Linked DNA regions of Elephas maximus indicus. The protein of the gene in region 4 interacts with the protein of the main gene of each other region in a pairwise test. Links are inferred from orthologs where the notes say so. Each region holds a gene or a part of one and is shown on either strand. Other genes may lie near its edges.

The links.
Region 1: the proteins of FAM131C (region 4) and HPCAL4 interact in binary tests that used the Homo sapiens proteins (3 or more experiments, as listed by UniProt). The two-hybrid records come from large-scale screens. The link is inferred for Elephas maximus indicus from reciprocal best matches to the Homo sapiens genes FAM131C and HPCAL4.
Region 2: the proteins of FAM131C (region 4) and GRN interact in binary tests that used the Homo sapiens proteins (3 or more experiments, as listed by UniProt). The link is inferred for Elephas maximus indicus from reciprocal best matches to the Homo sapiens genes FAM131C and GRN.
Region 3: the proteins of FAM131C (region 4) and VSNL1 interact in binary tests that used the Homo sapiens proteins (3 or more experiments, as listed by UniProt). The two-hybrid records come from large-scale screens. The link is inferred for Elephas maximus indicus from reciprocal best matches to the Homo sapiens genes FAM131C and VSNL1.

Annotation. Positions count from the first base shown.
Region 1 is NC_064821.1:81,329,644-81,337,538, forward strand, and holds the start of HPCAL4 (hippocalcin-like protein 4), read right to left. Parts: upstream 3,254-7,895; 5' UTR 3,130-3,253; intron 2,996-3,129; 5' UTR 2,890-2,995; intron 1-2,889. UniProt on the Homo sapiens protein: May be involved in the calcium-dependent regulation of rhodopsin phosphorylation.
Region 2 is NC_064837.1:50,850,058-50,857,319, forward strand, and holds the start of GRN (progranulin), read left to right. Parts: upstream 1-4,240; 5' UTR 4,241-4,317; intron 4,318-4,604; exon of another isoform or gene 4,605-4,702; intron 4,703-4,996; exon of another isoform or gene 4,997-5,172; intron 5,173-6,900; 5' UTR 6,901-6,907; coding exon 6,908-7,045; intron 7,046-7,156; coding exon 7,157-7,262. UniProt on the Homo sapiens protein: Secreted protein that acts as a key regulator of lysosomal function and as a growth factor involved in inflammation, wound healing and cell proliferation. Regulates protein trafficking to lysosomes, and also the activity of lysosomal enzymes.
Region 3 is NC_064830.1:33,336,276-33,344,122, forward strand, and holds the start of VSNL1 (visinin-like protein 1), read left to right. Parts: upstream 1-4,509; 5' UTR 4,510-4,720; intron 4,721-7,847.
Region 4 is NC_064821.1:55,772,284-55,780,617, forward strand, and holds the start of FAM131C (protein FAM131C), read right to left. Parts: upstream 3,182-8,334; coding exon 3,178-3,181; intron 2,648-3,177; coding exon 2,532-2,647; intron 26-2,531; coding exon 1-25.

The DNA.
Region 1 (7,895 bases), about 26 Mb from region 4:
CCCACCTGCCTGGACCTCCCTCTCCAAATCATGGGTACTATTGTCCAGCAGACAGCTTCCTCACTTCCACGTGCCTTCTGGGAAAACCACAGCTTTGATTTCCCTCTTGGTCTTAGTGGGACCATCTTGCCTGAGCTCCAGGCCAGGGTCTCTGACACCCAGGAAATATCCACCTTTAGGTGTAGCCCACCAGCACCTCTGACTCAGCATGTATACAATCAGACTCATCCTCAGCCTGTGCTGGTCCTTCTTTCTCCATTGCCCCTTCCTTCCCTCCATCCTCCTACGGGAGGAAACTCCATCTTAGCAACCTTCACTTTTTCCCTCTCCCTTTCCCCTAGGTCCAACTTGCCATCAGATGCTGACATTTCTTCTTTTGAAGTACTCCTGGCACTTTCTCTATGTGCTCTCTCTCCCCGTGGCCAGGGGGCTGAAATCCAGCTGTTTGCCATGGCATGTACCATGGACTACAACTGCCTCACAGATAGTGCTTTTCCTCTGATTCTTCTGCTCCAGTTTTGCATGGAAGTATAATATAGGCTAGAGGCGGCCATGCCCATGGGCCTCCTTCAAACTCCAAGATCATCTAGAATCTCGCCTCAAGGTGTCCACCTGTCAAGCCTCACCACCCATTGCTCCCCTCACAACCCCCACACTCCTTTCGAGTTAGGCTTCTCACAGCTGGAACCTACCTCACCTATTCATTTAGTTGCTTCTGTACCCAGGGTGATGCAGGCTATAATAAGCCTTGAGGGCCTGGCTGAAGCCCAGTTCCTTCGGATCAGCTTCTCCCAGCCAGCTGCACGGGCTCAGCACTTAGGCATGAATAGACCCTGTGAGGCCATGGAGTCCGGCCACCACCAGTGTGTAGACTTCAGGAGTCTCTGACTCTCACCTGGTGCTGCTCTAGAATTACAAGATGGAGCCTGATTTGGTTTGGTTTGGATTAAACACTTGCCTGAGCCAGAAAAAGTTCCCAGACCTTTTTGCTCAATGTCAAGGAGCTTATCCCCTCCCAATATGGCCTAGTCCACTTCTGAGCAATTTGGACAGTGTGCAAAGCCCTTTCCCCTTTGTTCCTAAGTTTGCCCTCTTATAGCTCCCCATCACTGGTTTTAGCTCTGCTCTCTGTGGCTGCACAGAACTGCCCTGCAGAGACCTAAAGGCAGTGCCTGGAGCAAAGCCTTTGGTGGATTACATGAGAGGGGCAGGACCCCCTCTTTCCTCTTTGAAACTTAGTCAGGCTGTTTTATTTATTTGTGTTCTCCCGCCATCACACTCACCCTGGAGACAACGGAACCCAGACCCAAGAAAGGAAGGGTTCATCTAAGGTCAACTAGAGCTCAGCAGCAGCAAAGGAAGGCCAGGACCCAGCTGGGGCATTTTCTTTGGAGATCTGGCCCTGCCGAACATGGGTAGACTCTTCTGCTTAACTCTAGAGGGCTGCCCTCCAGCCGTGAAGGAGCTAGCACTGCCCCATGCACAAAGCCAGTGTCCCCTCTGTGCTCAGAGGCTTCTTCCAGGGTTGTGGGCTTAGAATGGGGAGGTGGCAGTGAGGGTGGGAGGGGCTGCAGAAGGCAATAATCCAACACCCTTGCCAGCTTCAGAGGAGCGGGTGCTGAGGCAGTTGCCATGGTGACAACAGCTCCCTGGTCAGGAGATTTTCTCCTTCCTCCTCTTGCTCTTCTCCAAGCAGCAGCAATAGAAGCAACAGCAGCCAGGGCCTTTGGGTTTCAACTGGGCAGGACTTCTCCCTCTCCTAACTAATGAGAGGCAGCCCATGTTAAACAAAGAGTAGGCTCTGTTGACCACACCCATCTCAGGGCTGTCCATGCCAGGGTGGGCTTGTGGTCTAAGAGGCACTCTTGATGGTGGGGTTTTGGAAAGTGTGTGGGCAGAGGTGGCCTGGGTAAGAAGTAATGTCCCCTCAGTGAGGACTGAAGCCCTCGGACCTTCTCTCTGAAAGGTTCTAATGGTTCAGAGAAAGAGTGAAAGAGTCCAGTTTCCCCACAATCTGTGACAGAACCAGAGCACGTCAGTGTGGAGGATTGTTAAAGACTATCTCATCCAATCCATCCCCCTGTCCTGGGACGGATCAGAAGGAAGTGATTTGGCCAAAGTCAAACAGCAAGTTGGGGCAAAGGCAAAATCTGAACCCAGCTCTGCCCTCCAGGTTCAGGCCACCTTAGGGAAAGAAGTGACATGGTTCACATGGAGCTTTGGCATGGTCCCACAGGGCCAGTGGGAAGATGAAAGAGGGGAAGGCACTGGGCCTAAGAAGATCAGAGAGGATACAAATGAGAAAGATATCTGAGAGGTAGAATGAGAAGACTTGGTGCTTTGGCTGTGAGGGGTGAGGGGAATGGAGCCTTGGCAGTAGCGACTGAGAGGGTGTGGGTGGTCTGCTGGAGGTGATGTCCCTGACTCAACCTCCAGTCAAGGCAAAAGAGGCCAAACACAGGACTTTGCCTCACTAGGGCCATGGGGAGGGACTGCTGAGAGAGCGTGTTTATAAGGAGGGAGACTGGGGGGTGGGGGGAATTTTCCTCCCTCACATATGCTATGAGCTCTGTCAATTTGAGGGGTGGAAAGTGGGGACAGTCCAAGGGGACAGTGTGAGGTGGGAGTGGGCTCTTATGGAGGTGGAGGCTGTCTTTGGAGGCAGGGGCCCTGTGGTGTGAAGTTTGGTGAGCTGTCAGTGGGGCTGGGTGGTGTGGTTGGGGGCTATTGGTGGGGGTGGGACATTGCCATGGGGCTGGGAGACCATCCATCGACAAAGCAATGGAGGAATGGTAATTGGTGCTCCCTCTAGCACCAGAGACACCACATCCCCAGGTGTGTGTGTGTATGTGTGCACACGTTCAGGGCCAGAGCAATGGTTGTTCTTACCTGAGCTGGGATAAGGGGGCAGCTCTGCCTCCCTTCCTGGGACCCTTGAGGCCTGGACTGAGGTGGGGGCCCCCTGCCCAGGGGCGGGCCCTCCAGGTGCTGACGCCTATGGGGGAACCAGGGACAGGGAGGTGAATCAGAGGGGTCTCGAGATGAGGATGGGAAGAGGTAGTGGAGGGGGAGGGGGCAAGGGGTTCGGCCCCGAGGGGTGCCTCAGAGGTCCTGCCCCACCCACGTTACCTGAGGCCGCTCAACGGGTCGCTGGAAGGCTCCGAGCCTTGGCCGGCAGCGGGGACGGAGACTGGCCCGGGGGAGCTGTCGGCTGGGCTCTCCTAGGTTCGCGCTGGAGCCGCCTCCCAGCTCTTGTATCACTATGTGCTTCTCAGAAGCGACACGATTTGCATAAGGCCCGCCTCATCTCGGGCAAGTTGGGCGTTGATTGGCTCGGCTGAGGCCGAGTGACAGGAGGGGTTTCAGGTGGGGATGGGTAGCCAGCGAGGCCTGGCTGGAGAAGCGCGCCCCGCCCGCCAGCGCTGACCTTCCGGGCCTCGAGAGGAAGGGGGAGGGCTGTACCCCGGTGTGCACGGCCGCCCTGAGGCTCAGACCCCGGGTGCAGTCTGGGGTGAAAAGTGCCAACGATTGAAACGGGTTCGCAGATACAACCGCGCCGTTGCTATGGAAACAGGAGAGTCACAGCCAAGTCTCTAAGCCTTCCCTTACTGGGCCCCAGCGGAGGTGGGGGTGGAAGAGGGGATGAGTCACAAGATGCGACCCCCCCCCATGTCCCACCCGAAATTGAAGAAGGGCAACAAGGAGCTGCTGATAGCTGGGTGGGAGGTGGAAGAGCTGGGATAGTCTAGCTGCCCACGCCTTCTCATCAGCTCCTCATACACACCCACTCCCCTCAAGCTGAGGAGCAGAGAGGAAGGTGGGTGGGCGCAGAGAGCGCAGTATCAACGGCGAAGGACCCACCCTCACCTCGCCCCACGCTGGCCCCGGACTGCCTCCGCCACCTCTGCAATCCCTAATTTCCATCTCTCCCCAGGCGGGACCTCCCTGTTGTCCAAGGACCCCAGCAGCCACTCGGTTTCTCCCCGAGAAGGACCCCTCTGCCTACTCCATGGACCCCTCCATTCCCCACCCTTCCGTCTTTCCGTCCCGCAGACGGAGCCGGTCCCCAGCCGCCGCCAGTCTCCGGCCTCGGATGTTGACACAAACCTATGGCGGTTTACACTGAGCGGGTCTGGAAGGCTTCAGGGCTCGGGGGACACCTCCTCCTGCACTTGGGGGTCTCCCCAAAGCCCGCCCCGGCCGTCCTGGCTGCACCGGCAGCCGAGAGCTCCCGAAGGTGGGAAGGCACCCTTTCACCGTAAACAGGGGGCCAAAGGGGAGCAGATAGCCCCGGGCTGGGCCACGTGCGGGGGAGGGGCTTCTGGGAATCTGTCAAAGGGGCGGGGCGTCTGGGGCGTGGTCGAATGGGAGCGGGGATACCGAAGACCGCGGCGAGGAGGCGGGGCTTCTGCCCGAGTTGTGAACCTTGAGGCCGCCGGGGCCATGCGGGGTGGAGGATGGAGGTGGGCCTGCTGCGAGTGGGGTCAGGCTCCTGGGGCTGGTCCCAGCAACTCCCGGGCCAAGCTCGCAGAGGAGGAAGCAGGGGGCGTCCCTCTTCTTTAGGAACCGTAATACTCCCCCTTACACTGATTTTGCTGCCCATTCTATCCGCTGCAATCTATTTCCTCTCTGGGCCCTTAGCAGGGTGCAAGCTACCTGGGGCTCCAGTTTGGAGGCGCATCCCTGGCCCCCATGGGTGGGTGACTCACAGGGTGGGGATAGGTGCCTGCAAGCGCTGACTCTACCACTTCCTGGGTACCTTCTGTGCTCTGGGGACCCAGAGACGGCAAGAAGACATCCCTGCTCATAGAAAACCATAATCTGAGGCATGAGGAACTGGGGAGACAGCCTGGGAAGTTGGAAATAGAACCTGAAGTTCTAAAATGAGTCTCTTCTTTGTCCATTTCCCCACAGATGACCCTACATGTGATTGTAGGCAAAACCCTTCTCTCCCTGGACCTCCCTTCTGGTCTGTAAAATGTGGGAGCTGGTACAGGAAAAGCAGAAGAATTTCAAATAGGAGGCTGAAGAAAGGCCATTTGTCATCCTGGGCAGACTAGGAAGAAAGGCCTGGCGATCTACTTCCAAAAATTAGCCAGTTGAAAACTTTATGGATCACAGCAGAACACTGTCCGACTCACTTGTTTTGAAATTGTCATCATGAGGGGTCAATCACTGGAGGAGGACATTGTGTTTGGTGAAGGGAAGTGCCAGTGAAGGCGAGGGAGACCTTTGATGAGATGAGTTGGCACCTGAGCTGTAATGATGACCTGAACATGCCGGCCACCCTGAGGCTGATGCAAGATTGGGCAGCATTCATTTCATTCTGTTGTACGTAAGGTCACCATGAGTAGGAGCCAACTCCCTGGCAGCTATCTGTAATCTGACTGCTCCACTGTGAGCCACTTAAATATAACTGATATATATTGAAAGCTTAGATTCCTGAGTAGTACAAATGGTTTGCACTTGATTACTAATCAAAAGGCTGGAGATTCAAGCCCACCCAGTGGTGCCCCAGAAGAAAGGCCTGGCTATCTGCTTCTGTAAAGATTACAGCCAAGAAAACCCTATGGAGCTCAGTTCTACTGTGTAACACGTGAGGTTGCCATGACTTGGAATCAACTCAATGGCAATGGGCTTGGTGTTTTGTTTTATTGGGAGCTTACTTTGTGTCAGGTGCTATTCCAGCACTTTATACCTATTACTTAATTTATTCCTCATAAGAACTCTATGAGGTAGGTACTATTATTAGTGCCATGTAACAGATAAGGAAATGAGGCACAGAACAATTAAGTGACTGGCCCAAGTTCACATACCTAGTAAAGCTGTAGAACTAGGATTTGAACACAAGCAGTCTGGCTCCAGAGCTCACACTCCTAGCCAGCACACAATACTGCCTGTAACTAGGCCCTTCAGGTCCTTAAGGAAAAGGACCTTGGGTTGGAATATTCGCTTCTGATCCCCCAGTGCTTTTGAAAGGCAAAGCCCAGCCTCCTGGGAGCAGCTTCTCTATCTCAGAGTCCACTAAGACATAGGGTTCCAGGAGCAGCAGTAGAAAGAACAAGAACCCATTGCCATCAAGCTGATTCCGACTCATAGTGACCCCATAGCTCAGCTATAAGGGGGCCAGTGTGTGACTCCTCCTGGCCACCCCCATTCCCCAGCCCTGGAATCAAGCATAAGATCCAGGCAGGTTAGATGGGAAGGAAGGCAAGGGGCAGTTGGTGAAGCAGGATACATTGTGCTTGCTCTGGACCTTTAAACCAGGCAGGACCACCTGTGCAGCCTGATCCATGAGTCATCTTGGAGGCTCCCTGCACCCCTGCACTATTCCTGAACTCCCAGTCATAACCTACCTTCATCTGCTTCTAATACTAGAGTCTGAGATACTGATCTTGCTCCTGCCTCTGACACAAGGTTTAATGTTTAAAGCAGTCACAGCTGACATTGACCGAGTTGCTGCACTATGTACTAGCCCAGGTCTTTATCTACACCATCTCACGTAATCCCAAAGATGACCACTGTCAGGGTAATATTAAAATATCTAGCAACCTGTTAAGGCACGAGCATTACCAATCAGAATGGATGCTGGCCTTAGTGCTGAATCAAGATCTTATTAGCTCTCTGTTCTGCCAAGAGTTAACACTTTAGTGACTAGATCAAGGGATGGGGGCACGGGCAGGGGAGAAGTTAGGGTGATGAGGGGCTCAGGGCTATGGCTATCTACTTACCAATCAATGTTGAAGTATTTCCATGTTTTAACAACCAGTTCAGCTGTACTGGTGCATAGCGGCTGATTTTCAGCCCCAGTATTTTTATCTTCAAGGTCCCTGGGTAGTGCAAATGGTTCGCACTCGACTACTAAGCTAAAGGTTGGAGGTTTGGAACCTATCCTGCAGCACTGTGGAGGAAAGACCTGGCGATCTGCTTCCGTAAAGATTACAGTCAAGAAAACCCTATCGAGCAGTTCTACTCTGTAATGTCATGGGATCGACATGAGTCGGAATAGACTCAACGGCAACAGGATTTGTTTGTTTGCTTGTTTATTGTTATATTCAGAGAGGCATTGATGGTCCAGTGGCAGAATCCATGCCTCCCATGTGAGAGATTCGGGCTCCATTCCCAACCAATACTCCTCATGCGTAGCCACCACCCCTCTGTCAGTGGAGGCTTGCATGTTGCTTTGATGCTGAACAGGTTTCATCAGATCTTCCAGACTAAGACCAGGAAGAAAGGCCTGGCAATCTACGTCCAAAAATCAGCCAAGAAAGCCCCATGGACCACAACAATTGGATCCGTAACCAATTATGGGGATGGCACAGGACCAGCCAGTGTCTGTTGTGCATGGGTTGCCATGAGTTGGGCCTGACTTGATAGCAGCTAACAACGACAATTGCTCTCTTCATTTCATGGTAGTGGAACAGATGCTCAGAGTGGTTATACAACTTGAGCCTTGTAACACAGCCCGTTAGTGACAGTGCTGGGATTCAAACCTAAGTCTAACTGACTGACCTCTGTTCCTGGGAAGGGGTAATATCCAGGACCGAATTGGGGTTTCCACTGTTCTGCAGTTGAAGGCTAAGCCAGAGGAAGGTGGTTTGAGTGCTGGGGCTTTGTTGTGACCTTGCTTGTTCTCAAGCTTGAAGCCTTGGCAAACACTTCTTCCACGTTGTTGACGGAGTGGGCCCTGCAGAACGAGGAGGGTAGAGGAGGTTGTGTGAAAGAAGGGACAGGGTGACTGTGTGGGAGGCTCCAAAAGGGGACACAGGAATGGAACCCAGCAGGACTTCAGTGAGGGCAGAGGTCTGCAGGCAGTGGCCACTCCAATCTGCTTTACCAGAGTGCTAGATTCCTTTCCCAGTTGGTCCCCAACAGTCCTTTTATCATGGATAATG
Region 2 (7,262 bases), on a different chromosome or scaffold from region 4:
GCCTCTCTCCCAAACCCCCCCTGCATTTAGCCTCTTATATAAGCAAACTCCTTGTCAATTTCAAGGCGTGGACCTCCCAGCAGAACCAGGAATCAACCAATCCCCTCGGTGGACCAAAAGTCGTTCAATCTTATTGGGTGGTTTTACACACCACTTTTTTTTTTTTTGACTAGTAAACTAACTGCAAGGTGCAAAATAGACCAATCACAGGGAAGCCTGTGGCCTAACCAATCATTTTTTGGCAGATTACAAACCCAGGGCCAGAAAAGCCATATATAAACCATTACACTGCAGTGACTTTTTGGCGCATTTATATTGAATTGTGTATTTAAAACTAAAAAAAAGAAGGGAGATGGAAGAAGGAAGAGTGAGAGGGGGAAAAAAGAAAGGTAGAAAAGAAGGAAGGAAGAAAGATATAAAATTCTTGGAAGGAGATGGCAGGGGGTCAGGTTCAGGGCCCACCCCTGCCTACCTCTGTCCACCCGGTGCTACATTCTCTACACTAGAGCCAAGCCTCACTTTGGAATCAGGCTGAACACCAGGGCATTCAGGGAAGGGCTGAGTCACCAGACTGGGCAGAAGCCCAGGTGGTTATGCTTGAGGCCCTCACAGCAGGTACAGGCAGGAGAGGAGGGTTGAAGGGGGTTTGCAGAGGTGCCTGGAGAGTTGCAGGCAGGCAATGCTGGTTTTCCCAGGGACCAGGGAACCTGGGGCCAGATGTAGGGCAGGAGTGAACATGTCTGTGGAGATTTCAGGCTGTGGTTTATTTCCTTGTAAGCAAACCCAAAAAAGGACAGAGGTCGAGATACTAACACCCAGGCTGGGCAGGGTGAGGTCATGCAGGGAAGCAGCATGAGTCCTGGGGACCACAAGGCCTGACAAAGCGGGCCTGGGAAGGGCTTAGGGAGGGGCGCAAATGGGGACTGACTCCTTGATGTCATATCTCTTTTACAGGGGACATCTAGTTCAATTGGCATAACAGTTTATAAAGAAAAGGCTCTACATCCTACTTTGGTGAGTAGAGTCTGGTTTCTTAAAAGCTTGTGAGCAGCCATCTAAAATACTTCACTGGTCCCACACCGTCTGGAGCAAGGGAGAATGAAGAAAACCAAAGACACAAGGGAAAGACTACTTCGAAGGACTAATGGATCACAACTACCTCAGTCTCCACCAGACTGAGTCCAGCACAACTAGATTAAAAAATAATAATAATTTATTTGTCATTGTTGTTGAGAATATACATAGCAAAATATACACCAATTCAACAGTTTCTACGCAACTTGGTGACACTGATTACAATCTTCAAGCTGTGCAACCATTCTCACCTTCCTTTTCTGAGTTGTTGCTCCTCCATTAACATAAACTCACTGCCCTCTAAGGTTCCTATGGGATCTTTCCAGTTGCTGCTGTCAATTCGATCTCATATAAATAGTTCTTAAAAGAGCATAATGCCCAAGGCAGACGTTTTTTACTAGTTAAGTTAAACTATTGTTTGGTTTTAAGAAAACTTGGGGGATATTTTGATTTAAATTTTAAGGATTATCTCAGGGCAATAGTTTTGAGATTCATCTAGCTTCCATGGCTCCAGAAAGTCTGGATTCCATGAGAGTTTGAAATTCTGTTCTGCATTTTATCCGTTTTGATCAAGGTCCCCTGGAGGTGTTCTTGAGGAATGTGGTAGCTGGCCCACAGCCCTGGAGGATGGAGTGGGGCTGGGGACTGTATCCTCTCCACTGAAGTGCCCAAGGCTCATTTCATCCACTTTGTCAAGTGGTTTAGTAAACGTATTTCACACTTCCTTGCCTTAGTAATCAGAGTAACTGCATATGATTTAAACTTTTCTGAATGCTCTGGCTGATCCCTTGACTGTCAATTACTGTCCTTTAGGAGGGATGCCCTTACGGTCGCCAGTCCTACAGGGCTGTTTTGGCCCTGCATTCAATGTCCCACATCTGGTGTGCTTTTGAGTTCTTCAGTCTGCTTTTCAGCGGTTTTGTCCCCTTAAGCCTTTAATCCTTGCTAAACGCCAAGTGCCTGCCTCTAGAAACTTCAACATATCCCCTCATCTTTCTGTTGCTGGGAAATCAGATAGTCACATTTATTAAAAGTGTATGAAATCAAAGGGCCTATGCACGTGGAAAACTTGGGACTCCCTTATGGAAAAAGTTTGTGATCCTTTACGACAGGGTTTCTCAACCTCAGCACTATGGACATTTTGGGCCAGATTATTCTTCACCGTGGAGGACTGTTCTGTGCATTGTAGGATAGTTAGCAGCATCCCTGACCTCTACCTACTAGATGCCAGTACTGCCCCCCCAAATTGTCCTCTGGGGACAAAATTACTGCTTTAGAGATTGAATTTGTGATGTCTGTTTCAGTCACTTTGGAGGTTTTTTCTCCTGCATGCATTTTCTCTGGTTCTGTGTAGTTGTGATGCATAGATTCATTTATTAATTTGCTTAACATTTCATGAAGCTCAAGTGCGTGGTGTATTCAATAGAAACATAAGCCATACTCCCTAACCTCAGGATACACGGGAAGAAAATACACACAAATAAGTCACCAGGGTGCAAAGTAGTCCTAGTTTAGCAGCAGGAGCCTTATCCACTTTCTGGGCCCTTTCTAGCCCCAGGCTAAGAACCCCTGTAACACAATTCCACAACTCTGTCACTCCTTCCCTACCTAGACTCCCACCACCCCTATTTGTCTCCCTGCCCCAGCCCCGAGTGCCTGGGTGTCTCCAACGTTAAGTGCTCTACTACCAGCCAAAAGGTTTGAGGTCTGAACCCACCCAGAGGCACCTCAGGAGACAGGCCTATTGATCTGCCTCTGAAAGGTCACAGCCTTGAAAACCCTAGAGAGCACAGTCCTACTCTGCACACGTGGAGTCACCAGAGTATGAATTGACTCGATGATAACAACCACCTTACCTCAAGCCCTCTCCTCAGCTTGTAGTGCCCTCTGTCCACTCTGCCTCTGTCCACTGCCCTTCCTCCAAGGCCCAGCACTTTCCCTGGGCCTCTCTTCTGGCCCATCTCCCCATCAGCCACTGCTGCCTGTGCCAGGCCACTGGCACTGAGCAGTTCTGGCTCCTGTCACTGGCTAATCTGTTCTGTGTATAAATTTTCTCTCCTTACCTGTCATGTCAATTTCTGGAAGGCAGGGCCTACTGAAACTAAGAAGTACTTCCACTTCCCACCCCCAGCCCAGCCTTGTTTCAGGCACCCAGCAGCTACTCAAGGCCACTTGCACTGAACAGGGCATTCAACCTGCCTATGTCTGCCCTTCCCATCTAGTGTTCTGATGCTCTTCCCAAGACCGCCCCAACCCCTGGCCTCCAGTCATTTCTACAGCCTCTCCCCTAAAAACCAGTTGCCACCAAGTTGATTCCAACTCATGGTGATCCTGTGTGTGTGCAGAGTATAGCTGTATTCCATAGGGTTTTTAAGGTTTTGTGATCTTTCGGAAGCAGACAGCCAGGCTTTTCTTCACAGGTGCCTCTAGGTGTGTTCCAACTTCCAACCTTTGTGGTTCTGAACTGTTTACACCACCCAGGGACTCCTAGCCCCTCCCCACCTGTCAGTTAAAATCCTCCCAGACACAGCTCAAGAAGGAACTCCCAAAGTGGAATTAATCTCTTCTTCCCCACCCTGTGGCAAACCTACTACCTCTTCATATTCACAATATATAGCACCTGGCACACGACCTCGTACATTTAAATTAGATTTATTCCGATTTGTTCTCCCTTCCTTATCCGCGGCCAGCCGTGAGCGTCTTGAAAAAAAGGCCTGGGGGCTGCTTGTCCTTATCCTCACAACCCTCCTCAACCCCCTGTGGGCCCTGAATCCCTAGCATTTAATTAACTGCTGAATAGAGTAGAAAGGGGATGCAACCCGACATCCTGTAAACGCCTTTGAGCAAAACCCCTGAGGGGTAGCCCCCTTGGCTGTTAACATCCCCAGACACGTTGCCTCCTTGAGGCTAACTCTCCCAGGAGCCCAGAGGGGTGGAGGTAGGAAGATCTGCAAGCTGGCTCTGGACGGCAGTCTGAGAAGGGCCAGAGCGTCACATGATTCTCCAATCACATGATCTGCAGGGATGGGGGGTGGGGAGAGATAGGAAGGGGGAGTGAATTGGGTTGAAAAGAAACACAGTATTCCAGACTGGCCCTGCCTCCACGTCGACAAATAACCAATGGGAGGGAGGCATGCCGGCCGCTGGCCAATGGACACTGAGGTGGGCGGGTCCTCGGGCGGAGGGGCTGTAGTGCGCGAGCCGACCGGCTGCTGCTGCCAGGGAGCGCGGATCCGGACGCAGGTAAGAGGGTGGCGGTGCACACCTCTCACTGGCTCCTTCCCAGGGGTCCGGCCGGGGACTGGTGAGCTTGAGGTGCTCCTGGAGTCTCAGCCGGGAGACGAAGGGAGATTTGCGTCCAGAAACTCCTTTGAGGGTTTCTGATGCACTGGAGGGAATTTTAGGGGAGAGTAGGTGGTAACTGCAGTGACCCCATTAGAAGGGGGCTTTTTCCGTGCCAGGATCCCCGGAAGCTGCAGCCCCTTTCCTCAAAGCAGGTACCACCCTATTCTAGAGCCATCTGTTGACAGGAGCCGGCTCCTTCCTCTTTTGGTGGTGGCGGTGGAGTGGTCCCCGTGGCTGCCCCGGGGAACTGGGAGCAGGACTTGAGACCCTGGCCGCCCCAAAGGTAGGGACTTGGGAGTGGTGACCGAGCCCCTGTGTTGTGTCGACTTATAGCCACCCTATAGGACAGAGTAGAACTGCCACACAAGGTTTCCAGGGAGTGGCTGGTGGACTCGAACTATTGACCTTTTGGTTAGCAGCCAAACGCACCACCAGGGCTCCTGGGTTTTGTCTGGCTCTTCCTTGCTTCCTCACGTGGGGGTAGGACGAGCTAACTTCCGCCTCTCCCAGCCACTTTTTCCTCCTCAGTTGCAAATGGATTGGCTCACTTTTGGGGAATCTTCCTCTCTGCCACTAGGAGTTGGGGGGTGCCCCCTAGTGGAAGATGACGGAGCTGGGGGCTTGAAGACGCTCCTGTCCTTTCTGTTGTGGAAGTGTGCGTTGGGGGTGACAGGCCGCCGCTAGGAACCCTACTGAGGAGCAGCCCGAGGCGGGGACTGGGCCTCCTTCTCCCCCGTCTCTAGTTCTGTGTGTGTATGTATTCAATAGAGATTTGAACTATACACCCTAACCTAAGGATACACAGGAAGGAAAATAAACATAAATCACCGGGGTCCAGAACAAGCATAGATCTGTGCAGACAACCCTCTGGCCTCAGCCAGGGCAGCAGGATAGGCAGCTGAGGAGTGAGTTTAGACACCCCCACCCCTGAAGCAGGTGGGGCCAGCTGCAGAGGCTTTTCCTGGGAGCGGTGGTGGTGGAGGAGAGGGAGAAAGGGCAGCATCCCATACCAGTCTTCATCCTCATCTGTTCTTTGACCTGGGGGAGGGGGCACCTGAGGAAAACCAGGTGAGGGAGTGACTGGGTGGGAGAGATTTCCTGATCCACTCACCTTTTGAGGCTCTCACAATCTGTTGGTGACAATTCCAGGACTAGGACCCAAGTGCAGTTTCCACAAAACCCCTGTTCCCTTTTCTTCCCTGCCCCTTCCACCTGCTCAGGAAATGCCTCTGTCCCCCTCCCTTTGCTTGGACCCCAGGCCTCTGTTTGGGGGGGTTCATTCCTGAGCCCTGCCTGGGGCATCACTTGTGAAAAGAACCAGGTCCAATAAGCTGTGCAGCCATCAAAACCTGTCGTCGCCATGACCTGACGTACAGCAGCGGCACCATACTTAACATCTCTGAGCCTCAGTTTCCTCCTTTGAAAAGTAAAGATAATAATTATTATTTTGGGTGGTTATTGCAAAGACGAAATAAAATAGGATGTTATAATTGGTTCTCAAGGGGCACAACCCACACACTGGGCAAGTCAGTGCCTCCCAGGCCTGCCCCGTTGCTCTCGTCAGGCCGTGGAGCTTGGGGGAAGAGTTGTTTAGGAAGTGAGAGGCTTAGTTCCTCCTGCTGACTCAAGTCGAGGCAGGTGAGGGCCGAGAGGCCCTCATGGATCCCATGTGGTCTCTTTTTGTATGTGATTGAGTTTTGGCGCTCAGGGTAGAGGAGAAGCAGGGGCAAGTGGTTGGTATGTTTGGGGAGTCTGAGAGGGCCCTGGTGGTATTGGGGGGCTCTCAAAGAACAGGTGTCTCAAAGGCCGCCCCCCAGCCTTGTGTCTCCCTCCATGGGTGTAGGGGTAGGGGAGAGTCAGCTGGCCTCTGGGAAAAGAAGCCCAGACTCCACTGTCCACCACACTTCCCTTTTTTCAACTTTCTCAACCCTGTGGTTTCCCATGTCATCATGTGACCACCCCACACACGCAGGCCGTAGCGGGGTACATGTGTATGCACACCACCAGGCTGGGAGGTATCTGGAAGAGCTGGCTGAGGACGAGGGGCCGTGGAGCTCTCTCCTGCCACCCCCATCCCTGTTTTCTCCTGTGGCTACTGGTGCTCACCACACCCCACCCTACCCCACCCAGGTGGCCTGTGTCCCCACAGATCAGACCCACAAAAACCACACATCCTCCTGACTGTCACATGCATACGTCTCTGCCACACGCACAGACTCAGGTGTTAGGCCATGTCGGGGACTCAGATTCACACATATACTCATGTCAGCATTGATGCTCATGGAGACACACACACACAGGTGACATGTAGAAGTGGAATCTCGGACCCCACATCTTTCTTCCTACTTGGACAGGGAGTTGTTGGGGAGGCTCAGGTAGGCCTGGGCCTGGGCCTGGGCCTGAGCCTGTGAATGGCCTCAGAATCAAGGGTGGCATGGGCTTAAGCTAATGAGTTCCCAAATGCTGGTTGACATTTTGCAGGTGGACCATGTGGACCCTGGTGAGCTGGGTGGCCTTGGTGGCAGGGCTGGTGGATGGAACACAGTGCCCAGATGGTCAGCTCTGCCCTGTGGCCTGCTGCCTGGACCCAGGGGGAGCCAGCTACAGCTGCTGCAACCCCATTCTGGTGAGCACCCCTCAGCCCAGGCGGAAGCTGGGAGCCTAAGTTTCCCCAGGTTGGCCTGAGGACAAAGCCAGGCATGGACCCTTTGGTTTATCCTCGTCCCTCTCTTCCCAGGACACATGGCCCTCTCTGTCCACAACATGGAGCAGGCATCTGGGTATACCCTGCCAGACTGATGCCCACTGCTCTGCTGGCTCTTCCTGCCTCCTCACTGTCTCGG
Region 3 (7,847 bases), on a different chromosome or scaffold from region 4:
TGTACCCTTTAAATGGGTGAATTATATGGTATGTGAATTATATCTCAATAAAGCTGTTTTAATTTTTTTCTAATTCAAAATTATATTAAGGAAAATGGATTCCAAAAGGAGAAAGAAGTCAGAATGATCTATTCTAAGACAAGACAGGATTTTGAAGACCTTTCTGGATCAGATGGTATCCAAAGTACTAAGATCCCAGAAAATGGACCTATGAGTTTATTTGCAGTGGCAATTCATACAACTAAAAATGAGCACAGCCCAGCGTTATTTTTTGTTGTCGCTACTTTCTGTCAAGTCCATTCTGACTCATGGATGCCCCATGTGTGCAGAGTGGAACTGCTCCATTGGTTTTCAAGGCTGTGGCTTTTCAGAAGCAGACTGCCAGGCCTGTCTTCCAAGGATCCTCTGGGTGGGTTCGAAACTTGTGACTAGTACTTGAGCACTTAACCCTTAAGGATTACCTAAAAAATCATTAAAGAAAATAGAGGTCATATGTTGTGTACTTCTGCTACCACTATTTTTTGTGTATGTTGTCACTAACAAAGGCAGTGAAAATTTCTAGCCTAAGAGCACCATCATGAATTTATAGGTTAGACTCAAATATAGAAGAGAGAATGAAATAAAACATTTTCTATTCGTTGGGCTGCCAATCACTTGCATTTTCTGTGATCATTTCTCAGGCTCCAAAAAACTTCCAGGAAATTCAAAATTTTGACAGTCTAGAAACTTGAAGCAAGGCTGTAAGACACTTTGTGGATTGTTCAAATTTTGAGGAAAATTGCTGACTGCAGCCAGAGGGTGGTCTTCCAAATTGAATTTAGATCTAGCCATGGGTTACAGAGATAAACCATGATGAACTGGGAAAAATGTCCTACTGGGTCCATTAAAGTAGGACTTTTAACCCCTCATCTGCACCAATAGACATGGAACGCTCCCTCTAACTGCATGAAAGTCACTACATCATTATCTTGGATTTTTCACTTGTTTCAGAAAAACATGCTAGAAAGTACAAACATATACAATGAAACACTTTATGTATCAGAAAAACTAATGTGCAATTTCATTCTAGGAAATAATGTGCTGTTTTAATTTAGGAAAGTTATTTTGTCTATTCATATATATATTTTTAAATAGGATAAAAACCAGGATAAATGTAATTATCTTACACAATGCATCTCCTCTGTAAGGGTTAAGGGTCATAGCTTTTGGGGATAGAGGCACTTTACCCACACAAGAAAACTGCTTTCATTATTCTTTATACATTTAAGTGAGTATAAATCCATTTTCCAATTCCTGTTTCTTTTCATCTTCTAACGATGACTTTCAAACACTTTATTTTTCTTCCAATTTCCTAAATGCCCCATGCCTTAAATTCCACCCTTCTTTGCTCAAATATTTTAAACACAAGCACTTATAAAAAATACTACAATAAACTCACAGGACTGCAGGCTTAGATCTCTTGTACTACTGCAGTTCCCACAACCCCCTCCCTACAGTACTTTCCCACCTCCTCTCCCTCCACTCCAGAGAGTGAAAGCTGACATCGCCGTGTTGGGGACGCGTCTTTAGGTAATGGGACAACTGCTATAGCTGATGGCGTTCCTCACTCGACACGATGCAGCGTTTCAGTCCCTCTGCCCCTAGGCGCATAGGAGCGCGCGCCAGCGCATCTCTGCTCTGTGACCACCGGTGACATTTGCAAATGTCTGAAAGAGCAAAGAGGGCTCTCTCATTTTTTAGTGCCCCATCAAATTCCGCTTTGAAGGTTCATTCTACTGCACTGAAGAGGGGAGCTGCTTTCTATATATCATTCTTTCAGTGCCTTTTAGAGCTGGTTTCTCTACTGTGACTTGACGCAGCATATAAAACTCGACTAAAAAACATCTCTGGGGAAAAAAATAAAAGAAAATTAGATGAAACTATAAAACAGCTGGAGATTAAAAACTAAGCTATCGTATTAAGGACTTCCAACAACGCTGCAGTGCAAATGGAACTAAGAATAAATAAATCCGCCTATACAATTAAGGCAAACTTGCTTTACGAAAGCGCATACATCTAAATCAAAGCGACCCTACAAAAGATCACGGTTTAAAGTATCAGTGGACATTTTTTCCCCCCTAAACACAAGTGGAAAGCATGTTGTCTAAAAGCAGAAACTGTCAGAAAAGCGACCGCCAGAGCGCGTAAATAGATAGGACTCTTTGAAACCCAGAAATGGCATCTTGACACCCTCGGTTGATGCAGACTGTAGTACGAAAGAGGCTGTTCTCTTGAGAGAAAGAACCCAGCGTAAAATGCTTTTGTAGGGAAAAATCTATAAAAACGGGAAATTACTTTCAAAGCCTGGGAGGTTGTCTTCATAGCCAACCAAAGCTGCTTGTCCAGAACTGATTTTTGCCCTCACCCCATCCCAGGAACAGAAGGAAAACCGCCTGGCACGCGGAGGAACCCCGCTACGCACTGCGCGATGCAACAGGAGCGCAGAGCGGGCGCCCAACCACAGCCGCGCAGCGGTGGAATGTGCTGCGCTCCCGCAGCGCTCCGAGGCCGCGCGCTCTGCTCCGCGCGGCTCCGCGCTCCGGGTTTCCGCGGTCACCAGCACCCCGAGGAGGAGCCCCGCGGAGAGGGGGCCGCTGCGGGGAGGGGGCTGCCGCGGGCCTCGTCCCCGGAGTCCGGAGAACGCTCTGTCTACGGTAGCCTTCATGAAGCGTTTGGCTCAGAGAAGCGTGGTCCTGGGCTCCCGGACCGCTAGGTTGGCGTTGAGACTGAGGCCGCAGTTTCGGCTTAGCTACCGGAGGGCCTCAGCCTAGCGGAAGCGTTTGATTGCCAAACTAGTCAATCGGAGTTTTTCCCAGATCTCCGTAGGTAGCCATAGGTTCGTTCCAAGCTGGGCTCTCCCACTCGGGGCCAAGAGCATCTCCCTCCTGGCAGCGAAGGTTTGACACTCTAGAGCCCAGTTTGCCCCTGGGGACGCTCTTCATGCCCCCAGCACGGAAAGGTTAACTTTGCAGATTTCCTGAATGTGGTAAAGTGTGTGAAAGCGCTTTGCAAATAGTAAAGCGCTCTCCTTAAAGTGAACATCCTTCTGTCCTGCGCCCCAGGATTTCTCTTCCCCGAATGTAAAATTCCCCCCTGAATGTCAACCCCAGGTGGTTTTTTTTTTTTTTTCCCCACCTCTCCGTGCCTAGAATAGTGGCTGATACTCGTTCAGTGAATAACTGTTGAATGAATGTACATACACACACACTTGGAGAAACCGATCAGGTTGGAACATCTCGCAATTCTTTTTTTTTTTTTCCTGGTAGGGAATCGACCAAACATTTACTGGGCATTACTGCTTGCCAAGTCTTCTAGGCTTTGGCAGGCCAGCGGGTAGCGGGGGAGGGCTGCAATCCAGCGCCTCAGTCAGGAGCACAAGGGGCTTTATAAAATCGGCTTGTCCAAACCATCAACCCTAGATTCGCAGGATAGTTCAACTCCACCACCCCCACACACATCCAATGTATAGTCAGGAAATATGTACTTATTAAACGCATACAGAAGGTGCTTATTGATCGTTTCCCCAAGGTCATACAGGTCAAGAAGCAGAACTTGGACCCACTTCTCTTCAATACACATTTCTCCAATGCCTCCTCTGGATCAGGACCATGCTGCGCGCTGGGGTACGTAAAGGACACGGCTCCCAGTACTCCCATCATAAGACCCTCGGATGAAATGGCCCACGGCAAAAATGACCGCCATAACCGTTCCTTCAATGAGCCAGTGCTCACAAGTTCTCTGGGAAGGCTTCCTTCCCAGAAAGGGTTTCTGCAGTTTTCTTTTTCACCTTAAAAACAAAACAAAAACCATTGCTGTGAGTTGGAATCAATATATATATATATAGGGCAGATTATTGCTGCCCTTACAGAGTTTCCAAAAATGTAAATCTTTAAAGAAACAGACTGCCACACCTTTCTCCCGCAGAGCCGCTGATGGGTTCCAACCTCCGACCTTTTGGTTGGCCCCCGATTGCTTAACCACTGTGCCACCAGGGCTCTTTTCTTTCACCTAACAGCCTGACAAAGGATTGGGCTAGGGGCTGGTTAGGACCGACGGCGGCGGGAAAAGCAGAATCCACGTGTCCTGTCTCTGGCCTGCGCCTTTAGCCACCAAGCACAGTGACCGCGGGGCGTGGCTAGCTCAGCCCGCCCTCCTTCACGTCTGTACAGGTGAGGGTTTTGCCCAAAGCAGGGCTTCCTTTTCCAATATACTTTCCTTTAGAGTTTCTGCTAAAATCTGGAGACGCGGAATCCACCCGCGGCAACGCCGAGCCCTTCCAACTGAGCATGCGCCATTGCCGGGCGGCTTTTGATCACCGGCTCCCGAGCTCCCAGAGCTGGGGCTGCGGAGCTCGAAAGGGGAGGAGGGAAAGGGGAGGGTGCCTGGAGAGGCGGAGGCTCGCGCGCCTGCGCACCCAGCTCTAGGGACCCTAGATTTTCTATGGGATTCCCAATCTGCAGCAGAGACTTATCCGAGCGTGTTGCGGCGGCAGCTGTGGTGGCAAGGCGCGATCCAAGAGGGATTTAAGCAAACTAGAGCTCTACAGAAGAAAAGAGTGTGAGAGAGCCACACAGAGACGGCTTAACCGTTTATCCGAATTAAATATATATATTTAAAAAAAGAAAAAAGAACTGTTGATTTTTATCATTTGCGTTAAGTGACCGTGCGAAGCGCTGTAACTGTAAGTGGAAAACACAATCTTCGTTGCCTTTTTGCATGTATAGAGCAACCAACTGCCAGGGAGCTGCTTTGGCTATTGTCACATACTTTGCTTTGCATAGATGCGTCTAAATGCATAGTGACAATTGTTTTCGTTTATGCTGGCAGTGTGAATGTGCAGTTAGTAGTGGGGGACCTTTTGGAATAGCGGGGATGGGGGAAGGGGTGTGTTTATATGCGGAGTGTTTAGGGGATTGTCTTAGGATGCCTTTGAGACTGATGGAACCGAGATGCTTTTTTAGTTCAAGTCTATAAATAGACGGATTTCCTTACACCGATTTAGGTAGCTAACTGACCGATCGTGAAGTTTTCCGCTGCTGATAAAAGTATTAAGCGGTTGCAATCAAGTACCAACCTGTCATCCTTGGGGTTGGTGCACCATTTTTCTCAGCGTGGAAGAGCAGCAAAGGTGTTTGCTAAGTACAACTGAGTGGTCAAGATGTTACGGAAATCAGGGTTGAATTCGAAGCGGGATGTTAGTATTTAGACCCCACGGAGTTAGGCGCTACATGAGCACATTTCGCTCTTCGTATTTAAAAATGAGTGGATAATTTTTCGTTTTTCAGTTTTCGTCATGATGGTGAATGGGCAGAAAAGGAAAGATGTTCTACCGCACAGTCAACTGTCTATTCGGAACAGAGTCTGAGACTGGGAGTCGCTGAATGGGGACTGTCAGACCCAAACTAGTTACCTGCCTTTGCATTCCACGTCGCATTCTGGAATGTAAACCCAGATGTATGACATCTGGTAGTGTTTTTATTTTTTTAGAGGAGGAAAGGTCGTTTTGTGTATTGAGTTAAAATGGGTTGTTCCTTGCCCAGAAACTGGAAAAGGGGTCTTTGCAAGGTCAAATCCCGTCTGGATATCAAATTGCTGAATGCTCTCTGGGGCGCTGGTGAACGTGTGGCGAGTGGAGGGCGCGAGGAAATGGTGATGCTGCACGTGAGTGCTCAGCACTGCACGCCTCGGTGCCCCCGTGAGATGGGAGTGTGGGAATCCATTTTTCTGGAGTTGCCCTCCTGTCCATATTTTGGAGACTAGAATGAAATAGAAATGCTAGTGGGTGTGGGAAACAAAAGCTGCATAGTCTCCGTGTCACTTCCCACTTGAAGGAAAGAAGATAAGGAGTTTTATGGCTACATATTAAATTTCTTTTAATTAAAGGAATTTCTGATTGAGACAAATCCAAAATGAAACTCTTGTGGAAATGCATTTTACCCCTACTGCCATCTAAATTACCTATGTGTGGGGGGGGGGTCTCCTGCATCATTGCACACCCTACTCATCAGTGCACGCTTATTAAGCTTTGAATGTTTAATAACCCCAGAAAACGCTGCACTGAAGCAGCTTGGCAGAAGGGTATGAGGCAGGCAGACCAGAGAAGAGCGTGGCCAGTGTCTGACCATAGCTGCTGGATTTTCGTGGAAAAAGGAGATCCAATTTTGGGGATGAAATGAAATAAATTTTCCCCCAAATAAAGCAAATCATTACAGGGCTCTTTGACCCTTTTATCAGTCCAACTATTAGGAACCCCCAATTTATTTAAATGGATGAGATTTGAAATTGAAAATGTAAGAAGATTCTCTCCTTGGAAGCCCAAAGCATAAATCTTACTGCCTTCTAAATTCTTTGTGCCTGCCTTCTTTACTTGAGGGTGGAAGGGCCAATCGTTTGTTACAAATGAGCCATACTCCTTGTCATCATTTTCGAGTTGGCATCGGTTCGACAACTGGTATAGGTGTTGCACTGCATTGTTAATGCCCATTAAAAAAAAAAAAAAACATTGCTGTCGAGTCGATTTCAACTCATAGCGACCCTATAGGACAGAGTAGAACTGCCCCATGGGGTTTCCAAGTAGCAGCTGGTGGATTCAAACTGCCGACCACCATAGCTCTTAACCACCACGCCACCAGGGTTTCCAAATTCATTGTTAATGAGTGGTGGGGAAAAAGGGGAGGTCTGGTATTAAACCTCATAAATATTTGCACTTAGATTCCCGGGCTCATAGGCTATTAGTTATATAGGGCCAGATCAGGAAGAAAACTTCGAAGGCACCTAGTACAATCCCCTCATTTTGCAGATGTGGAAACTGGGGCCCAGAGCCTTAGAGCTAGAGAAACATCAATTGACTTCTAGTCTGTGGAATAGAAACTTAAAAAGCAATGTGGAATGAAAATACTGCTTTCTCTCTGCACTTGCCAGCATCCTCAGTGACATTGCTGCAGTCTCCAGGTAACTAATTGCCTGCTTCAGAGATGGTCTCCTGTGGTCCCTTTCAGACCATTGAGCTTCCCTTCTCTGCCTTCCCTTTCCTTGTAAGGTCTCTTTCCATCTCTTTTCTATTGCCCCTCACCTCTAATACACCCACATCACTGGGTGTTTAGTCTGACATTCCTAGCCTCCTCTGCATCTCTATTTCTTTGGAGCCCTCAGAATTTTTCCAGAGAGCTCTGTGGCGAACCAGTCAGATTCTGCTCTTTCTGTCTGAGGACTGCCCAGGCCAGGACCTTTCGCCATCCCCTCCCTGCTCTATTCACCAGAGCGTTTCAGTGAATTCAGCCTTCAGGGATACTGCAGGTGCCATCGCCACGCTCTTCTGCCCATCCAGCCTCTTCTAAAACTGCTGCAGCTGCAGGGATCGGGACGTGGTGGAGTGAGCACGCTGCAGTATAAACACACCACAGGCTCTGCCAGCTCTCCCCGGGCTCCTAGAAGGTAGAGCCCAAACCGGAGCTACCTGTCTCCAGCCTTCAGGGAGATCCCTCAGATGAAGTCACCTGCAGAGAAGGGGGTGGGAGCAGAGATAACTGGAGGACGAATGCTTGACTGGTTCAGCCTGAAGGAGTGCTATAGAAGGGAATAGTGTGCAGCTTTTTGAAACCTTTAGAGCTTCTAAAGCCATTGCATAGTTTTTCTTTGGGCTGGGTTTACTGGACAAGAGCCGCAAAGCAGGCATATTGACCTGCCTACCCACCTGCCTTCCCTCCTTCCTCCTTTCCCTTTTCTTTCCTCTCCCTCTCTTCTTTTCTTCCTCATTTACGTCCTTCCAAGTACCTGCACAATAAAGTTTTAGGCCTTTTGAAGATAAT
Region 4 (8,334 bases):
CCCAACAGAAATCCATCTGTTTGTCCTAAAACAAGAGGAGAAAGAGGATCAGGCAGTGCCTGGCACCCAGGGCCAGCAGATGGCAGAGTCCTGGAGCCCTGGGTGGTGGGTCAGGTCAGCGTCTGGTGCTCTGTGAGGCCAGGGTCGGCCTACCTGTGGGCCTTGCCCTAGTGTCTCGTACAGAGAAAGAGGAGGGGGATGGCAATGGTGGCACTGCCAGGAGAGGCAGTGGGTGCAGGGGATGGGTCAGACCTGGATTTGAGACCTGACTGCCATTTCCTAGCCAGCTATCCTTAGACTATTGACTTAACATCTCAGAAGTGGGGTCACTAGGGGGTGCAGGGGGTACGGACCACACCAGGTGACACTATCAGAGGGGATGACACCAAAATGACTGCCTATAAAATTTTTGTGCACTGTTTCAGCAGAAATTTATTATTTTTTATAAAAATATCCCTGTAGTCAGTTATAACAACAAAAACATTTTTTCTAAGCCCAGCTTACATGTATCAGTATACCTGGTTGTTAGGTGCCGCTGAGTCGGCTCCCGCTCACAGCGACCCTATGTACAACAGAATGAAACACTGCCCGGTCCTGCGCCATCCTCACAATCGTTGCTATGTTTGAACCCGTTGTTGCAGCCACTGTGTCAGTCCATCTCATTGAGGGTCTTCCTCTTTTCCCTGGCCCTCTACTTTACCAAGCATGATGTCCTTCTCCAGGGACTGATCCCTCCTGATAACATGTCCAAAGCAAGCGAGACAAAGTTTTCCCATCCTCTCTTCTAAGAACCACTCTGGTCGTACTTCTTCAAAGACAAATTTGTTCATTCTTCCGGCAGTCCACGGTATAGTCAATATTTTTCACCAGCACCAGAGTTCAAACGCATCAATTCTCCTCTGGCCTTCCGTACCCATTGTCCAGCTTTCGCATGCATATGAAGTGATTGAAAACACCATGGCTTAGATCAGGTGCACCTTAGTCCTCACAATGACATCTTTGCTTTTTAACACTTTAAAGAGGTCTTTCAATACACCTACAAGGCTAAAATTCTATGCTAATTTACTTTTTGAACCTTCTAATGGAAACCCTGTTGGCACAGTGGTTAAGAGCTACAGCTACTAACCAAAAGGTCAGCAGTTTTAATCCACCAGCCACTCCTTGGAAACCCTGTGGGGTGGTCCTACTCTGTCCTACAGGGTCACTATGAGTTGGAAGCGACTCGACGGCAGTGGTTTGGTTTTGGTGTTCTTATATTTGCTGATTTTGTCAAATTTTCTGGTGTTTTAGCTACAATATTGTGGTAATTAGTATTTGTGAACCTCTATCAATAACTTTTTTGAGAATGAAGTAGTGATCAAAGGAAAAGGAGTGATATAGAGGAATTATGATTTACAAGTAACGTTAAGTACATAAAACATTACTAAGAATTCTGTGTGGTCTGGTATAGGAGAAGGTCTACGGTGGTGTGGGGGTGACACCATGAGTTACCACACCATGAGTCACTGCACGGGGTGACACCAACCCTAGTGACACCACTGGGACCAGGCTTGTTTAGAAAAGAGTCCTGTACTGAAGGTTTTTTTGCAGATAACAAATTCTGCTACTAGCCCACAGCTCCTTAGCAGCCTGCACTGCTCTCTGGAATGGAATTCTCATCCATATGGATTAGGAGGATTTTGCTAGGGGCTCCAAATCCTGGAGCATAATTGCCACCCTTGCCCCATGGTTTGTGGCTTGAACCTACCAGTCATATAATTGCCCCCCCCCTTTTTTTTGAGCATATACCACATAGCATTGTGGTAGGAATTATGCCTACGTTATGTTTTTATGCTTCTCCAGGTAAGCTTTTACCCGTCTGGTAAGTGGCACTGTTCCCATTTTACAGAAGAAGAAACTGAGTTTCTGAGATGCAGTGGCATCACTAGGGTTGGTGTCACTCAGTGTGGTAACTCATGGTGTCAGCCCTCCTCACGGACCTCTTCCCGTACCAGACCAGTAACATTTTTTGTACTAATGTTACTTGTAAATCGTAATTCCTGTATATTGCTCCTTCTTGTCCTTCAGTTGCTACTTCATTCTCAACAAAGTAATTTAGCCTAGAGTTTTAGCCTTCTAGGTATATTGATACATGTAAGCTGGGCTTATGAAAACTTTTTTTGTTGTTATAACGACAGGAATATTTTTATGAAAAGTAATGAATTTCTGCTGAAACACTGCACAAAAATTTTATACATAGTCATTTTGGTGTCACCCTGTGATAGTGTCACCTGGTGCAGTCTGCACTCCCTGCCTCCACCTCCCACGCCCTACTGACACCACTGCCTAGTCCAGGGCCTAGAGGCAAAGCATAATTCAGGCCCCTCCTGGCTGAATGCCTTAAGGTCCCTGACCCCACGGGAAGTAGCCAAGCTTGGCAGGGAGGGAAGGAAATTGGAACGATTTCTGCTCCCTGTGGGGAGCTGCAGGGGACAGGCCCGGGACCAGAGCACAAGCAGGGGTGAAGGAAGGGGTGAAGAGTGACCAGTTACCTTGCCAGTGACATGGTCTGGAGCAATGGTGGGCGGGTGGCTGGAGGGCAGGTCTGGGTTCAAGGGGTCTGTGCCCTGGGGCATGGGGCAGTCCTTGTGGGCACTTGTGAACAGATCTGAAAATAAAAATGACAGGAGGAATTTACAAAAGCTCAGTCCCCTACTGCTTACAAAACCTTACATCAGCCCTGCATGATGGGTATTACTGTATTATAACCCTTTGTCGTTTTACAGAAAGGAAAGGTCAAGTCCACAGCAGGTGACGGGTTCAGCCACACTTCTCCTAGCTGGTCCTCTCTGTAGGAATTTCTTACCCCATCTTCTTCATACATACACACGTACAGTGATGAAAATACATGCCAAAACATTGGGCAATACAACTTCCACGTTTACAATTCAATGACATGGATTACATTTTCACGTTGTACCACCACTATTGCTATCCTTTTCTAAAACATTCCACCATTAACATAAACTCCACGCCCCTCAAACAAAAATTCCCCCTTTCTCCCTCTCTCCCACCTTCGGTTACCATTAATAACCTTTGGTTTCTCTATATTTGCTTATTTCGTGTAAGTGAGATTGGGCAGGATTTGTCCTCTTGCAGCTGCCTTATTTCGCTCAGGATGATGTTTCCAAGGCTCACCCATGTTGAGGCGTGCATCGGGACTTCATGTCTCTTTACTGCTGCAGAATATTCCATTGTGAGTATATACCACATTTTGTTTATCCATTCATCTGCTGATGGACATTTTGATTGTTTTCACTATTGTGAAAAGTGCTGCAATGAACATTGGTGTCCATGTTTTTGTTTGCATTCCTGCCTTCACTTCCCAGCTTCTTTTTACTCCCTTTTCCTAATTCTAGACTCACACTCCAACATTTTTTGACCTTACAGAGACCCCCAGGCCATTGGTCCTATTCTTTTCCCATAACTTTGTATGCCCTCACTTCCCTCCTTGCCCAGCTAAGACTCCCTGGCTCATCTTATATGCGCTCCTTTGCAGATACCTAAACTCTCAGCTCGGCTGTAACCTAATTATCCATCTGCTCTGAGCCTGGGCCTGAGGAGCTGAATGTTGCTGGAGGAAGTCACTAGCCTTGTGTTAAGTTGGTGACCCCTAGTCTGGACACTGCCCAATAATCCTTCTACATTTCCTGCTAAGTTTGCTTCCCACCAGGTGGACTATTGCACCCCACCTTTCCAGCTCAAGTCTCTGGGTAGTGCAAATGGTTAATGAGCTTGGCTGCTAACTGAAAGGTTGATGGTTCAAGACCACCCAAAGCCACCTCAGATGAAAGGTCTGGCAATCAGTCACTGAAAACTCTTTGAAATACAGTTCTATTCTGACACACATGGGGTCACCATGAATCGGAATCGACTTGAAAGTAACTAGTTTTCCTTCTCAAACCTCCAACACCGCAGCTCACCTCCTCACACTCTGCTGCTGGCTTTTCCTCACCCCTCACCGAAATCTAGAAGCCTTCGATGGCATCACCCTGATCTTCCCACCCCAAGTCATCATCCTGCCTGCATTTCTGCCCATATCCTCTACTTATTCTCCTGCCACAAGGTCAGCTCCTCCACACAGGAGCTGGCCGCATCCCTGCCGTCTACCTGGGGCTCTGTTCTCTCTGCTGGGTCATCAGTGTTTCTCTCTCTCCGAATCACTCCATGAATATCGCGTGTACTGCAATGCCTCCTTGCCTCTGCTCAGGAACTCTTCTGTGTTCTCTCTCCTGCCTCCTGCCTCATCAAGTCCCCTCACGACAGGGTCAGGCCATCAGCATCCAAGAAGCCCAAGCATCTCCCATCTTCTAAAAACCTTCTCTCCATCTCTGTTTGCCTTCAGCTACTTCCCCAACCTCTGCCCTCCTTTGCGGCCAGACTTGCGGAAAGAGTTGCGTAGCACGTCTGTCTCCTTGTCTCCCATCTTCTCCTTCCTCACTCCAAGCAGGCTTCCATGAGACAGGCCTTGTCAAGCAGCCAGTACCTCATGTGGCCAAGGCCAATGGTGACTTCTCTGTCCTCATCTTCCTGTCAGCAGCACATGGATGTTGCCCAGCCCTCCTCTTTCTCTTCCTGGCCTCCCTCCCACCTCCCTGGCTGCTCCTTTTTGTCCCCTTTGCTGGCTCCTCCTTCTCTGCTCAACCCCTAACTGTTGGCTGCTCCACAGCTCCATCCTGTGCCCTTTCTCACCTCCATTCTCTCATTTGCGTGCTGCTGATGCTCACACTTACACCTCTAGCCCTAAGCCCTCGCTTGAACTCCTGGATGAACTTCCAACTCCCTATTTGGCTGCCCAATGGGCATCTCAAACCAGTCTGGGCAAAAAAGGATTCACAAACCCGTGTCCATTCTTCTTCATCTCTCTGACTCCAGGAAATGATGCAACTGTCCACTCAGTTGAACCAACTAAAAACCTAAGAGTTCCTGGAGTCCTGTCTTCCCTCATTCCCCCTCAATCCCAACCAAGCCACCAGGAAATCCTATTGACTCACCAACATACATTCCAGGCTCATCCTTCTCCACCTCCACCACTGCTCCCCTGGTCCGAGCCATCACTGTCTCTCTCCTGGACCACAACAGTCTCCTGCTTCCTCTCCTGTCCCTGTAGTCCACTCTTCACACAGCAGCCACTGGGCATTTTACGTTCTAAGTCAGATTGGGTCATTCCTTTGCCTATAGCCTGCCACGGCTTTCTTCCATTGTACTTTGGGAGAAAAGCCAGCACGTTCCTACAGCCTTCAGAGCCCTACCTGGCCAGCTCACCTATCCTATCCCAGACCTCAGTTGTCTTGCCCCTTTGTTCACTCTGTTCTGGCCACTCTGGCCTCCTTCTGCTCCTCACATGGTCAAGTCTCTTCTGGTCTCACAGTCTTTGCCATTACTGTTGCCTCTGCCCAGAACACTCTTTCCCCAGCTCTTCCCCAACCTCATCATTCACACCTCAGCTCAAGGTCACCTCCTCAGAGAGGTCTTCCCTGACCTTGTACCCATGTGGCCCTCCCTGTCCCGACTCTGGTCACTGGCCACTGCCTGTCACATTGCCCAGTTTTACTTCCTTTATAACATATCACTTTCTGTTATGCCTTGTTTATTTAAGCTTTCACCACGTACCATACCCCCTTACCTACCCTGGGTGAATGTCAGCTCCATGAGACCAGAGACAGCGGCTTCCTTGCTCACTCTCTGTCCCCAGAGCCTAGAACAGTGCCTGGCATATAGTAGGTGCTCTGTAAACACTTACTGAATGAGTTCTACCTTTATTACGGCATTTAGCATAGAGTGTCTTGGTAAAACTATTTATGTGTGGCAGCTCGTTGAAGGCAGCGACCGTGTCCTGTTTCTTGATGCATCCTGGTGCCTAGCACATTAATAGGTTAGCAGAAACTGTTGAGGGAATGGACAAGTGCGTGTCTTTTTCTCTAAGTGGAATTCTTGGACTGAATTCATGGACTGAATTGAAGGAGATCTTTCCATCTCCAGAGGACAACTGGAACTCCCGTATACTTCATTTAATTAATGTATTTATTTGCTCTTTGATTCATTAAAAAATATTAGCTGAGTACCTACTGTGTGCAGGCACTGTTCTGGGCACTGGGCACAAAGTGATGAATGAGACAGAGTTGGTTTCTGCCTTCACAAAGCTGACATTTTAGTGGGGGAGATGGACCATTAACAAAAAACTCACAAATGAGTAAGGTCATTTAGATAGGGGTCATAGCTATGAAGAAATCAAGTGAGATGATGGGTCCTGCTGTGGCCCATAACTGGATGAGAAAGGTCCAGTTATGTGACAACGTGGAGGATGATCATTCATCCAGCCAGCCAGCCAGCCAGCCACCCATCCATTCATTTATCCATCTACTACACTTCACTGGGCAAGTGCCTGGGAACAAAATGAGATTAAGACTCTGTCCCTGCCCTCATGGAGCCCCCAGTCTTGTAGAGGAAACCGGCATAAAAACTCCTCATTCAAACACCGGGGGGACCCAGGGGGGACCCTAGCACTCATGGAGCTTTCTTTCCACACAGCCCTCCCTGCAGCGTGATGGCACTGAATTCTCACATTGACCCAGAGAGGAAAGACTTTGTAGCTGTTTTACAGATGAGGAAACTGAGGCACAGATGGGAAAATCACTTGCCCAGGGCAGTCAGAATTAGAACCCTGACCTCCTGACCCAAGGCTCACGCTCTGTCTTCCAAAGCACAAAGGGAGCGATGAGTTGGGGAGGTGGGGGGCTGCACAGGAAAGTTGATGGAGGCAGCTGAGCCAGGAGGACTGCTGGGAGGAGGGTGTTCTCGGCAGGAGCACAGCTTGAGTAAACCATAGGGTCTAGAAGGGAGAATCAAGGAGCCGGGGATGGTACAGCAGGACTGTGTCTGGGTTGAAGCAGGGAGGGGGTGCTTCTGCAAGAGCCTCGTCCCAGCCTCCAGTCTCGCCCTGTGCTGGGTGCAGGCCCCTACCGCTCTTTTCTTGGGCCAGCCTATGGAAGCAGCAAAAGAAAATATCCGCCTGTAGGGCTTCCTAAGGAGCCCTGGTGGCACAATGGTTAAGAGCTGGGCTGCTAACTGAAAGGTTGGTAGTTAGAACCTACCCAGGGGCTCCTCGTGAGAAAAGACCTGGTGATCTGCTCCCATAAAGATTACAGCCTAGGAAACCCTATGAGGCAATTCCACTCTGCCACATGAGCTTGCTATGAGTCGAAACTGACAAGATGGCACATGACAGCAACAGCAGAGCTTCCTGGGGGAAGCTGAGGCCAGGGAGGGTCTCAGGGCTGGGAGGTGGAAGGGGTCACTCAAATCCAGAGGCAGGGCTGGGAGCTAGTAGGTGGGGGAGGTAGAGAGTGGGCTGATTGGAGACTAGAAGACTTGTCATGGTGTTGGCGGGGGACAGAGCTGAGGGGGCTAGAGGGCAGTGGGGGTGCTCTACCCTCCCCCTAAGATCATTTTGGAGCCCTTGTTCTGGTTTCTGTGCACTGTTCCCTACCATGTGCTTTGCTCCCAGCAGGCCCCCCTACCATGCCCCCCACCACCAAGAAGGATCCCTGGAGAACTCATTCATGTGATCTTAGTTATCTAGTACCGCTGTAACAAAAACGTCACAAGTGGGTGCTTTTAACAAAGAGAAAATTTATTCTCTCACAGTCTAGGAGGCTAAAAGTCTGAATTCAGGGTGCTAGCTCCAGGGGAAGGCTTTCTCTCTCTGTGGGCTCTGGTGGAAGGTCCTTGTCATCAATCTTCCCCTGGTCTAGGAGCTTCTCAGCACAGGGACCCTGGGTCCAAAGGATATGCTCCCCTCCTGGTTCTTCATTTTTGGTGGCATGAGGTCCCCTGTCTCTCTGTTCACTTCTCTCTTTTATATCTCAGAAGAGATTAATTTAAAACACTACCTAATCCTGTAGATTGAATCCTGCCTCATTAACATAACTGCCTCCAATCCTGCCTTAATAACATCACAGAGATAGGATTTACAACACATAGGAAAATCACATCAGATGACAAAATGGTGGACAATCACACAATACTGGGAATCATGGCCTAGCCAGGTTGACACACATTTCTGGGGGGCACAATTCAACCTATAACACATGCTAACCCTGGGAGACCTATGGTCCCCCCTCCCATGTCATCTCCTACCACCTCCTCCTCCCTCCCTCACTCCACTCTGGCCACACTTATCACTCTCCTGGCTGCTCCTCAGACATGCCAAACACACTCCTGCCTCAGGGCCTCCCCCGACCTGGAACTGTCTCCTCCCAGAAAGCCACAGGTTCACACCCTCACTCCATTCAG